2 linked regions of the Arabidopsis thaliana genome follow. The protein of the gene in region 2 purifies or fractionates together with the protein of the main gene of each other region. This does not show direct contact. Each region holds a gene or a part of one and is shown on either strand. Other genes may lie near its edges. The genes, in order: AT2G35040 and AT4G24830.

Region 1 (5,605 bases), on a different chromosome or scaffold from region 2:
TTCGCACGGTTCAAAGAGCTATCAGAAGCTCTAGAAGAAACCAAACTATGACGCCTTTGACCAGTATCATTTTTCGAAGAGATAACTGGGGCTGACTGGACCAGTTCATGATAGGTCTTATCTTCAATTCTAGAAGGGGGTTTCCTCTCGTGCTCAAAGCTCTGACGTTTTTCTTCTATGTTAAGCACTGTAGCGTTAGGGCCACTCTCTGACATTGGATGAACCATTCCCAGAGCACTTAAGTTAACAGAAACAGGCATACCACTGTGCTCACCATACACATTTGGGATGAACTGCGGTTTCATAATAACCCTATCTCTCATAAACTCAAAAGCAAATTCTTCACCGGTCTGTATTGAGTAGTTTAGCACTGGCCGAGCAGGGGTTGAAACACCATAATCTGGAGGTCGTACATAAGTGTTAACATTAGTTGAAGAGTCGTGGGAAAACCTTTGATTAATGGAGCCAAGTCCCTCATCTCTAGGGTCAGGGGCAGTATACCGAACATGTTCATAACCTTTTGCTTGATCCATGTTTTCTTTCTCAAGGTGTCTATCTATCTAGTTCATAAGCTCCCTCACAAACGCTTGTAGGCGACATATCATGATCATGACCCAAGTAAAATCTTTGCATAAGCATCCTTCGCAAATTTCTAACGTTTTGGCTGCAGAACAGGACGACTTCTATCATGAACAACTCAAACTCTCATTGAGGTGCCTGAAATAGGAGAAGAGTAACTTTACTCAAGTAGTCAAACATATTCAAGAACAAAAAAACCAAAATAGCATACGGCTAAAACTCAGAAAACCATACTATTTAAGGAACATTTTCGGTATACAAACCAATAAAACTCTTTACTCTAGCAGGGACAGATCATCCAGTACAAATATCTGACTGTGCATACTTTCCAACATGAAACTAGCTAAAATGACTACTTTCTAGTCTCTTCAAGTTTAAACTAACAGGAATCGCTGAAACTAAAATCGATCAACTTCACCAAACTATTAGCAAACCCATCGTAACTTTGAGAGAGTGTAAATCAACAGATCAAAACATAGAACTAAATCCAAAATTCAATCAAGTCCGTGAAACAATTCCAAACCTCAAAAAGGAAACAAATAAGCGTCATTTCGAACCAAAAACTGAGCTAAAAACCTCTACCCAACCAAAAAACAAAAGCCGATCAAGCCATCAAAACCACTGAAACTCTAGAAAATGCAAGATCTGAGTATCATTACCCGAAATTCAGGTGGAAACACATCGGATCCAGAGATTTTCGATAATAATGATCAAAATTCAAAAACAGCATACACCTAAAAGGAAGACGAGTAAGCAAAGAAGGAGAGAAGTAGAGAAAAAGGTTTATACCAGGAAAGGCGGCACCAGAGACTGTGAAGCGTCCTCGGTTTGACGATCGATGAGTAGGAGAAGAAGCCAAGTCCTTCCTTAAAATCTCTCTTCTAATTTTGACAATTCGAAAAACAAAACTATATTCTCGAGAAAAAAACTATTATGCCTACCAATAAAATAATTGTTATCTACTTACATTATTTAAAATTCTGAAAAGCAAATAAAATATCATATAAAACATAAGAAGCTTTCGTCATCTCCATAGTTAGTCTTTTGTAATATTACCACTCTGATCCAATAAAGTTTTATTTCTTACTAATTAGTTTACACTTGAGAATTTTGGTTTCTACTAAATTTTTTAAAATTTGGAGTTAAAATAGTTTAGTTTTATTTTTGGGGGAAATAAAAAGAGAAGCTTTATTCCAATTTTCCAAATATTCCAGGTGTAATCTAACTGTCAAGGCCATAATAATAAATACATAATTCCACCTGACGCCAATAATAAATTACATATTTTCCTTTTTTTTTTATTTTTTTTTCTAATTTATTTCCAAAATTAGCCGCAAAATCACAAAACCTAACAGAGCTCAACACTACACACTGTTTCAAAATCAGACTACTATGCTCAGCTCAGCCGCCACCGCCACCTCCGTGAGTGCTCGCTCCGGCGATATTCTCTGCGGCTTGTTTCGCAAAAAATCCGTCGCGCCTTTTCGTTTTACTCAGCCTGTGAGTTCTCCTCTGTGTGTGGACGTGTTCCTTTGTGTCTTTGTTTCATGTTCTGCTAAACTTTTTAATATTAGTGGAATTTTCAATGAGCAGGTCTATCGTACGTCGCTGTGTCCAAGTTTCGTTGCTGTTCGAGCCATGGCAGAGTCTCAGACTGCTCAGAGGAATCAGCCGCAATCCTCAGGCTCCTCTGGTTTACAATTTTTCTTTTTGCTGCAATTTCAAATTCAGTGATCGATTTTCAGTTACGTTTTAGTGATTTTCAAATAATCGGGCTTTAATTGAATCAGGGGAGAAGCAAGCTTTGATATCTCTATCTGACAAGAGGGACTTGGCTTCTCTTGGCAACGGTCTGCAAGAATTGGGGTATGTGTTCTTCACAACTCTCTCTTACTTAGAACTATACAAATTTTGGTTTTGTTTCTATCTTATATGTAAATGATTCCTTTTTTCATTGATATTTGTGTAGATACACTATTGTTTCTACTGGAGGAACTGCCTCTACTTTGGAGAATGCTGGAGTCTCTGTGACCAAAGTGGAGAAGCTTACTCATTTTCCAGAAATGGCATGTTTTTCTTTTCTCTTATGCTCGCTGCTCTTGCTAAAAGTTTTGGTCTTGTGATCTCGCTGATATTTATATTTAAGTTTTGGTTTATACCATTGTTTTGTTGAGTTTAGTATATTAAACTTAGCTCTCCTTTTTTTTTTTCTTCTCTTAAAGCTTGATGGCCGTGTGAAAACTTTGCATCCAAACATACATGGTGGTATCCTCGCTAGAAGGGATGTGGAGCATCATATGGAAGCTCTTAATGAGCATGGGATTGGTGAGTTTTGACCTTTGATTGATCCTCTACATTAAGCTTGAGACTAAGTCATTTATAGTGTCTCCTTATGTTTAACTGTACCTTTTTTTTTTTTAATTCTATGACAGGTACATTTGATGTTGTGGTTGTCAATTTGTACCCGTTCTATGAAAAAGTTACTGCTCCAGGTGGGATCAGTTTTGAGGATGGGATTGAGAACATTGACATTGGTGGCCCTGCTATGATTAGAGCAGCTGCTAAGGTAATACATATATCTGTGCATATGAGACTTTTTCTTTACACTTGCAAGATTATTTTCAAGATTATAAATGTATATTTTCTATTGTTTTTTCAACAGAACCACAAAGACGTTCTCATTGTTGTCGATTCAGGAGATTATCAAGCTGTTTTGGAGTATCTCAAAGGAGGACAGAGCGACCAACAATTCCGCAGAAAACTTGCGTGGAAGGCCTTTCAGCATGTTGCTGCATATGATTCTGCGGTTTCAGAATGGCTATGGAAGCAGACTGAAGGAAGTATGTGATTGTTTTTATGTGATCCTCCTTACACTAGTTATGGCAATTGGCAACTTACATTGATTGATATTCATGTCTTTCTCAGAAGAGAAGTTCCCTCCCAGCTTTACAGTTCCGCTTGTACTTAAGAGTTCTCTTCGTTACGGTGAAAATCCTCATCAAAAAGCTGCATTTTATGTTGATAAGAGCCTTGCTGAAGTGAATGCCGGTGGTATCGCAACAGCGATTCAGCATCATGGAAAGGTAAGAAAGTATGCTACTTTTTCTGTCCGGTGTAATTTACAGAGCAAATAGTTTTAAACTGCCATTTATATCCTTATCCTCGCTTTCAAGCCTTATTATGTTTAACTTTTCTATTTATTTCTGTGAGCAGGAAATGTCATACAACAACTATCTTGATGCTGACGCTGCATGGAACTGTGTGTCGGAATTTGAAAACCCAACATGTGTAGTCGTGAAGCATACAAATCCTTGTGGTGTGGCCTCTCGTGATGATATTCTTGAGGCTTACCGGCTAGCTGTAAAAGCTGACCCAGTTAGTGCCTTTGGTGGCATTGTAGCTTTCAATGTTGAAGTTGACGAGGTAATCAAAAGTCAAACTACTGTTGTCCCATACATTATTCAATTGTTTAGTGATCTGTAACTGTCTCTAGGTTCTTGCGAGGGAGATCCGAGAGTTCAGGAGCCCAACAGACGGGGAAACTAGAATGTTTTATGAAATCGTGGTTGCTCCAAAGTATACTGCTAAAGGTCTTGAAGTCCTCAAAGGGAAATCAAAAACTTTGAGGATCCTCGAAGCTAAAAAGAATGACCAAGGGAAACTATCGCTCAGACAGGTTGGTGGCGGCTGGTTGGCTCAGGACTCGGACGATTTAACTCCAGAAGACATCAGCTTCAATTCTGTCTCAGACAAAACTCCGACTGAAAGCGAACTTGCGGATGCAAAATTTGCCTGGCTCTGCGTTAAGCATGTCAAGAGCAATGCCATTGTGATAGCAAAGGTTGGATTTTCCTCTCTGATTCCTTTTCTTGTTTCTCTTTCTGTACTTGTTTGCTAGTAGTTTATTCTGATTCTTGGGTTGGCTCATAGAACAATTGTATGCTGGGGATGGGAAGCGGACAGCCAAACCGAGTAGAGAGTCTGAGAATAGCTTTCAAGAAAGCTGGGGAGGAAGCTAAAGGAGCTGCCTTGGCCAGTGACGCATTCTTCCCATTCGGTATATATATTTTTCTCTCCGAAACCATTCTTCTGTCTGAAATGACTCATCAATCAACAAATGTTAGCCGTTCTGAATTGGAAATTTGTTGTTGTGTGAATTGCAGCTTGGAAAGATGCGGTGGAAGAGGCGTGCCAGATGGGAATAGGAGTGATAGCAGAACCTGGAGGCAGTATTAGAGACCAAGACGCTATTGATTGCTGCAAAAAGTATGGAGTCTCTCTGCTCTTCACCAACGTTAGACATTTCCGCCATTAAGGACACATCCCTCCAGTTTTGCTCTTATAAACACATCCAAGAGAGTTTCTGAAGAAGAAAACCCACCAAACAAAACACAAAGAGTGGGAAATAAAACTGTTGTAACATTAATTTGGATTGCGTTCGAGTTTATGTATGATTAGAACCTGAGAGCTGTTCCTACTTATAAATTTGACATTTTTCACCCAAAATCATATCTTTCTCTACATCCAGAAACTGATGAGATTTGCATATAAAATATTCAACATTTCTACTCAAACTGGAGTGAGAAAGTCGACGACAGTGTGGAGAGAGATCAGAGATGGCGACAGGGAAAGTGGTGGTGGAGAAAGTGGGAGGAAGATCTACAGCTACGAGCTGCTTCTCGAAGTATCCTCTCAAGTTCTTACTTCCTAGCAAGGTCTCCTCTCTCTCTCTACGTAGAGTTCACAGTTTCGAATTTTCAATCTTTAGTTATTAAAGTTCCGGCGACACTGAACTTTCAGGCAGCTCCTGCTGGAACTGACGTTGTCTGGATTTACAGTATCACTTATGGTGGCGGCATTGTCTCTGTATTTCCCTATTTCTCTGTCTCTTTATTAATGAATTTGCCATCGATGCGCTTGAATCAATCTAGTTCTTGTTCAAATTATGTAGGGCGATTCGATTTCATGTGAATTCACAATTGGTGATGGATGCACTGCAGTTATTACAACGCAGTCTTCTACTAAG
Region 2 (5,931 bases):
TATCTCCCTAAGAATACTAAGACATCATGCTACATCAGCTACCACAGGAACATGGAGATTCCCAAAATTCATAGTGGACTTTTGCAAACACAATTCTGAATCCAATTTGAGACCCAGAATGCTACAGTCCCCCTACATCAATCTAACCCAAAATACTAATACGAGAATTCGAATTTCAAAGCACTGCCAAATAAAAGTGAGAAACTGAAGGAAACTTACTTCTCGTCGAGCTTCTTAAGCTCCTCTTCATTAGCGGCCCGCATAGACTCTAACAAGCTTTGATCCAAATCCAGCACCGAAGAGGCAATTAGGGTTTCGTACAAAGGAGCCATACCTAAAATAAATAAAAACACCAACGAAACATCAGGAACATAAAATCTCGAAGAAATATTAAGCTAATTCTCACTGATTAGAGAAAAGGAGCTGCTTAACCATGGGATCTGATGAAATCCAAAACCTCAGACTTGAGCTGGACTTTCTCGATGTCTGGAACATCTGGATGAGTGAGGAGGAAGAGCTTGTTGGCTAGAATAAGGTGAGGCTGCTGAGATCCTTCCGCTCCACCGTCCATCGCAAATCGGAAAGCTTGAATCGGATCTGAGAGAGAGAGAGCAAATATATAAAAAGAGGTTTGCTTGAGCAAGGAGGAAGAGCTTACAAAGATTTCAGGTCCGATGGTTTTTTTTTTTTGTGTATGTAAAAAAAAAATAAGTTTCGCATTACCTTAAACACCCTTATCTTTTTTTACATTTAAATTTGGAATTTTTACCATAAGAAAAAAAAGTAAAAAACATTTACATTTAAATTCTCGTTATAAATAATTTAAACTTAAGATCGTTGAATTCAAGTAATGGATATTTATATTTTATATCTCTTTCCAATGGAAATCATAAAAGAAAGAGGCACTCATTATTAAATTTCTCAAGTTTTTCCAAAGTGAAGAAAGATGATAGAATTATTTCGAAAGAAGCTGAAGCTATGACGACGCATCACAATAAGGGATGTGTTCTAATGTCAGGCTCTCAATTCCAAGTAAGACATGAATGAAAACCATTTCTAGCTAATTTTCTTAAGCATAGCTCTAATTTTCATTGGAAGCCCGTAAAGACGAATAAACCCGGCTGCATCCGCTTGGTTGTAGATCTCACTCCCTTCAAACGAAGATATGTCCTGTCTATACAGACTGTTAGGACTCTGACGCCCTGTAACCGACACAGATCCTTTGTACAGCTTCAGTGTCACAGATCCCGTGGTTGTCTCGGTTATCTTCTCCATGAAAGCGTCCATGGACTCCCTAAGCGGATCAAACCATCTTCCTGCGTAGACCATCTCTGCATATTTCAGTGCTAATGTGTCTTTTACCTGAATACTCTCTCTGTCTAGAGTGAGGGATTCTAGTTCCTGTACAGCTGCAAAGAGGATAGTGCCTCCAGGAGTTTCATACACACCTCGTGATTTCATCCCAACCAGACGGTTCTCAACCATGTCAATCCGCCCAATCCCGTGCTTTCCTCCTATTGTGTTTAGCTCGGCCAGAAGTGTGGCTGGACTCAGAGCCTTCCCGTTCAGCGCCACTGGAAGTCCAGATTCTATCCCGATCTCGATGTATCTGTATAAGTGTGTAAGTATCAAAAGTTAGGATGCAAATTGCAAAATCCTACTCTTGGTATCTAAATTTGATAGCATAGCAGCTAAACCAGTTAACTCCTTTGAGAGACTTTAATAACGAGAACTCTCTATTCTAGATCTGATTCCCAATCCCAAACCATAAACAAATCCTGAACACACCAACTCATTCTGCCTAAACCTCAGCTCTGTAGCTAACTGACTCAACTTTAGTTTTCAAACTATCAACACAGCTATAATCCACTACAAACCACCTTGGGGTAATTACAGTGCATAGTTAAACACAAGGGCTCAAAGAAATTCCAACTTACTCAGGCTGATCAGGAGCATCTTCAGGATCCACACTCATCATGTACATATCTTTCTTTGGCTCGTTTGCTGGATCTTCCAATAGATCACCCTTTCAACAAAACACATAAGTTTGATATCAGAGCATGAGACACATTATTAGGAACTGAGCAATGTGACAAACTGGATCAATTTGTATCCAAAAGAAAAATGCGAACCAACACTTGTCTTTTACTTTACCTCATGACTAAGGTGCCACAGGTTTCTGTCCCGGCTGTAAATGGACTTCTTTGTCACTGGGACGGGAACATTATGCTTCTTTGCATACTCAATAGCATCTTCTCGGCCTTGGATTTCCCATTCTCTCCATGGTGCCACAACTTTAAGTTCAGGGTTTAATGAAAAGAAGGTGAGCTCAAACCGAACCTGGTCAATCAATCAGTACAAAAAAGTAATGTAAGAATCAATGCGTGTTTTCCAATGTGACGCATTAGCAAGACATTCCAAGTACTTGCCTGGTCATTTCCTTTTCCAGTACACCCATGTGCAACGGCATCAGCTCCAACCTCTGCTGCTACATCAACCATGGCCTAATCATTTAGAAAATGTATTAGTGACAATATGTAATCCAAAAGATATATCCAGATATTAGAAATAGTGGGGGTAGTCCTCACAAGTCAATCATATAAAACCATTCGAAATGTTACCTTAGCAATGACAGGTCGAGCCATGGAGGTACCAAGCAAGTATTTTCGTTCATAGATGGCACCAGCTCTAAGACAAGGGAAGATGAAATCTTTCACAAACTCCTCTGTGAGATCCTTAACGACCAACTGAGAAGCACCACTAGCCTTAGCCTTTTGTTCTAAACCCTCTAACTCTTTTATGCCCTTCACATCAAAGTATTTAGAGGTTGAGAAGACATAAGCAGATTGCAACAACATAAAACTTCATTTCTTAACTAAAACAGTTGACATGTGGCATTTTTGTGATGTACCTGACCAACATCAGCAGTGAAGCACACAACTTCACAACCATAGTTCTCCCTAGAAAACAAATAGTTACATATAAGGAAGGTCAGACTAGTTGTTTCATAACCAGAGGAAGATTCAAAACGTATTCTTGTTAGAGGTCAGAAATAAACTCAAGAAAAAGGAAAACATACTTAAGCCATGGCACAATGACAGAGGTGTCTAAGCCTCCACTGTAAGCTAGAACGACCTTTTTCAGTTTTCCACGAAGTCCAGCCTCCTTTGAATCAGTAGTCAAGGCGGTTCCATCACCGGATAGAACAGCTCGAATAGCTGTGCAATATTCAAGACAGCAAATTGTTTAAAACGTACTAATGGAAAATTTCATCAAGAGGGGATAAAGAATATATGTTAAAGGAAATGGATTGATTCAGTGTAATGCTAACTTTACCTTGATTCTTGCAGCTGCGGGATCCGGTAACATGACCGGTAACAACGGCATTGCCAACAAGCTGGCTTCGTTTCAGAGATAACTGCAAATTCAGTAAAAAGCAAATACAGAATTTAGTTGTATCATCGAAGAAACAACAAGTATGAGCATCGATTTCAAATGGATGTACCTCTTGGAACTGGGAAGTAGTTTTTGGAACAGCTACATTCTGACATTTTAAGCTACCTGCGAAATTATATCAGATATTAATAACTTGAAGTCCCATTTGCAATTCGCGGAGATAAAAATAGACATCAGAAACGAAAACTGTCGGGGAAATGGAGAATTTTGTATTCAAGCTAGAGCTATTGGTAATAATATAAAAACAAGGAAACGAAATGGAGGAGACAAGAAATGGGGGGATAGAGAGAGAGAGAGAACCATTGTGGGAGCTACGGATGACGAGAGCAGAGGAAGAAGAAGAAGGAAACGAAGTCGCCGAGATTTCAGCCATTTTCGACTATTGTCTGCGAATTTGTTTCTTTGTCTGCGGTTTGGTTTTGTGTTCGTTCGACAATGGGGTTTGTGGCTCTTTTAAGAATGCCAACAGTGTCCACGTCCTCTAGGGTTTCGACACTCTTTTTTTTTTTTCTCTATTACGACGGCGATATCGTTTTTTTGTTATTTCTCATTGATTTTTCTTTCTTCAAATATGAAAAACGTTTCCATATTTAAACCCAACAAACTAAGAGCAGATTTCGACAGATTATACACCGTTAAACAATGTATATCTCTCTCAATTCCCCAATGATTTAGAATTCGAAACCGGTTAAATGTCGGTTTGGTATGTTTAGACAATTGATAGTTTCTTTGGTTCAGTTATATACGAGAAAACAAAAGAAATTAAGAGTTAAAAGTTTCATTCCCTTTGGTGCGTGTTATATACTGAAGATGAAATAGTCCTACATAAAAGATTAAATGGCCAAAGCTGGCACTAAACTCAGACCTCACATAATGCAACTTCGGCGGAAAAAAAAAAACACTCTCTCTTCAACAAAACTCTCTTCCTCTTATCTTCACTGTTAAAGCAAACAAACACAAGCTATAGAAAAGAAGAAGCAGCGATTTCTTATTATCAGATATATGATACCACAATGATGTATGTATGGAAGCGAGCGTCCTCAAACACTAATTGAGTTTTGCCTATCCGCAGGTGCAACGCATTGCCAGAAGGAACAGTACTCCGGAATATCCGCCGGTTTCAGCCCCAAAGCAGAAACGTTTCGGCCATACTCCTGGTAAGATATTATCCGATTATGTTACTTGCTTGTAAACAAAAATTTGCAGAGAAAATTTATAAATCACACAATGAATCATCATGAAGAAGGTCTTACCTGAATATCAAGGAACAACTGCATACACATCTTGTCTGTTTCAGATACATTTTGATCAGAAACACCTGATGCTGCACCTCCTCGTCTCTGTGCATTTTGACGCAATTTCTGAAGCGATGACTGTGTTTTTCTTGCCTGTAACATAATACAATCAATATATCTAGATTCTCTACCGCCTTTCACTACACATAAATTACTCACCATCTCTGCATCTTTATAGTAAAAAAAAAATAAAAAAAATTGAAAACGATCTTTAGGGATAGAAAGAATGATTCTGGTTTTTGTTTTGGCTACTGGGGTTATATTGTCAATTCAAATCCTCAAAAAGTGTTTATAACAGAGTACTTACCACGCTAACAACATCAGCAGCTAATTCATAATACCGCCTGGTAATTTCACTGACACTGCCATGCAGTAACTCCTCCTTTGTTTTTTGGGTCAAGTAGTTTCTAGCCTTATCTCCCTCCAAAAAAGCCTGTTATAAAAGAGAAGGAGCAATAATCCACACTTCAGAATCCATCGGTCAAGCAACTATAAAATATTTTTAAAATCGCAACCAAAAGCTGAATTAATACCTTTACAGGACGCAATAGCCCAACGACATATGGTGAGTGCCTAACAGGCAGTGGCTTATTAGTCATCCTAAATGTAGCGGTTATCCCCCTGAGCTGCCTTAGGTCCTATAGGAGATAAAGCATTTACCGTTACAGAGTTAAATATGTGTCAGACTTGGAGAATAACTCTAACCTAATTCAGCTATACAGCAAATTCTAAGAAACATTGTTTCTGCAGGTGCTCACCAAGGCAGTCAAGCAAATCTTGAAGTTTACAAATTAAAGAACGGATCTAATGCTTTTTCAAAGGTTTACCTCAACAGATTTATCAACAATGACGTCAATTATTGTCTTGGTAAGTAAAGGTAGGACTTTCTCTAATGATACCCCACCCTGTTCTATGCTGATCCTCACCACATCAAGAACTTCAGTGGAGCTTGAAGATAAATACTGTGATATATGTCCAAGGTAATCGCCGCAAACTTCTGAGACTAGACAATTTACATCATGTATAACCTGCCAGGAAGGAAACATGTAAATAATCCCAAAAAATCAAACGATCAACCATATGGTCTATGTGATCTGATTTCATGTATTTATAGCAGATCTTCCGAGTTTACTTAATTTCCACAGCATTTTTTACTTGCTATTCTAATCATAATGGAGAT

The links.
Region 1: the proteins of AT4G24830 (region 2) and AT2G35040 fractionate together in Arabidopsis thaliana (co-fractionation; one large-scale study listed by BioGRID). This does not show direct contact.

What each region holds. Positions count from the first base shown.
Region 1 is NC_003071.7:14,764,636-14,770,240, reverse strand, and holds AT2G35040 (AICARFT/IMPCHase bienzyme family protein), read left to right. Parts: upstream 1-1,922; 5' UTR 1,923-1,971; coding exon 1,972-2,079; intron 2,080-2,153; exon of another isoform or gene 2,154-2,172; coding exon 2,173-2,272; intron 2,273-2,369; coding exon 2,370-2,445; intron 2,446-2,548; coding exon 2,549-2,645; intron 2,646-2,801; coding exon 2,802-2,904; intron 2,905-3,011; coding exon 3,012-3,145; intron 3,146-3,241; coding exon 3,242-3,419; intron 3,420-3,504; coding exon 3,505-3,662; intron 3,663-3,792; coding exon 3,793-4,002; intron 4,003-4,072; coding exon 4,073-4,420; intron 4,421-4,509; coding exon 4,510-4,636; intron 4,637-4,742; coding exon 4,743-4,894; 3' UTR 4,895-5,096; downstream 5,097-5,605. Other genes in the region: AT2G35050 (kinase superfamily with octicosapeptide/Phox/Bem1p domain-containing protein), read right to left, coding at 1-533; URED (urease accessory protein D), read left to right, coding at 5,196-5,294, 5,380-5,445, 5,531-5,605.
Region 2 is NC_003075.7:12,792,029-12,797,959, forward strand, and holds AT4G24830 (arginosuccinate synthase family), read right to left. Parts: upstream 4,004-5,931; 5' UTR 3,830-4,003; coding exon 3,757-3,829; intron 3,562-3,756; coding exon 3,506-3,561; intron 3,419-3,505; coding exon 3,337-3,418; intron 3,219-3,336; coding exon 3,080-3,218; intron 2,961-3,079; coding exon 2,912-2,960; intron 2,805-2,911; coding exon 2,622-2,804; intron 2,505-2,621; coding exon 2,430-2,504; intron 2,341-2,429; coding exon 2,155-2,340; intron 2,027-2,154; coding exon 1,938-2,026; intron 1,610-1,937; coding exon 1,057-1,609; 3' UTR 799-1,056; downstream 1-798. Other genes in the region: AT4G24820 (26S proteasome regulatory subunit Rpn7), read right to left, coding at 220-334, 433-571; AT4G24840 (oligomeric golgi complex subunit-like protein), read right to left, coding at 4,497-4,610, 4,710-4,844, 5,059-5,184, 5,285-5,389, 5,579-5,779.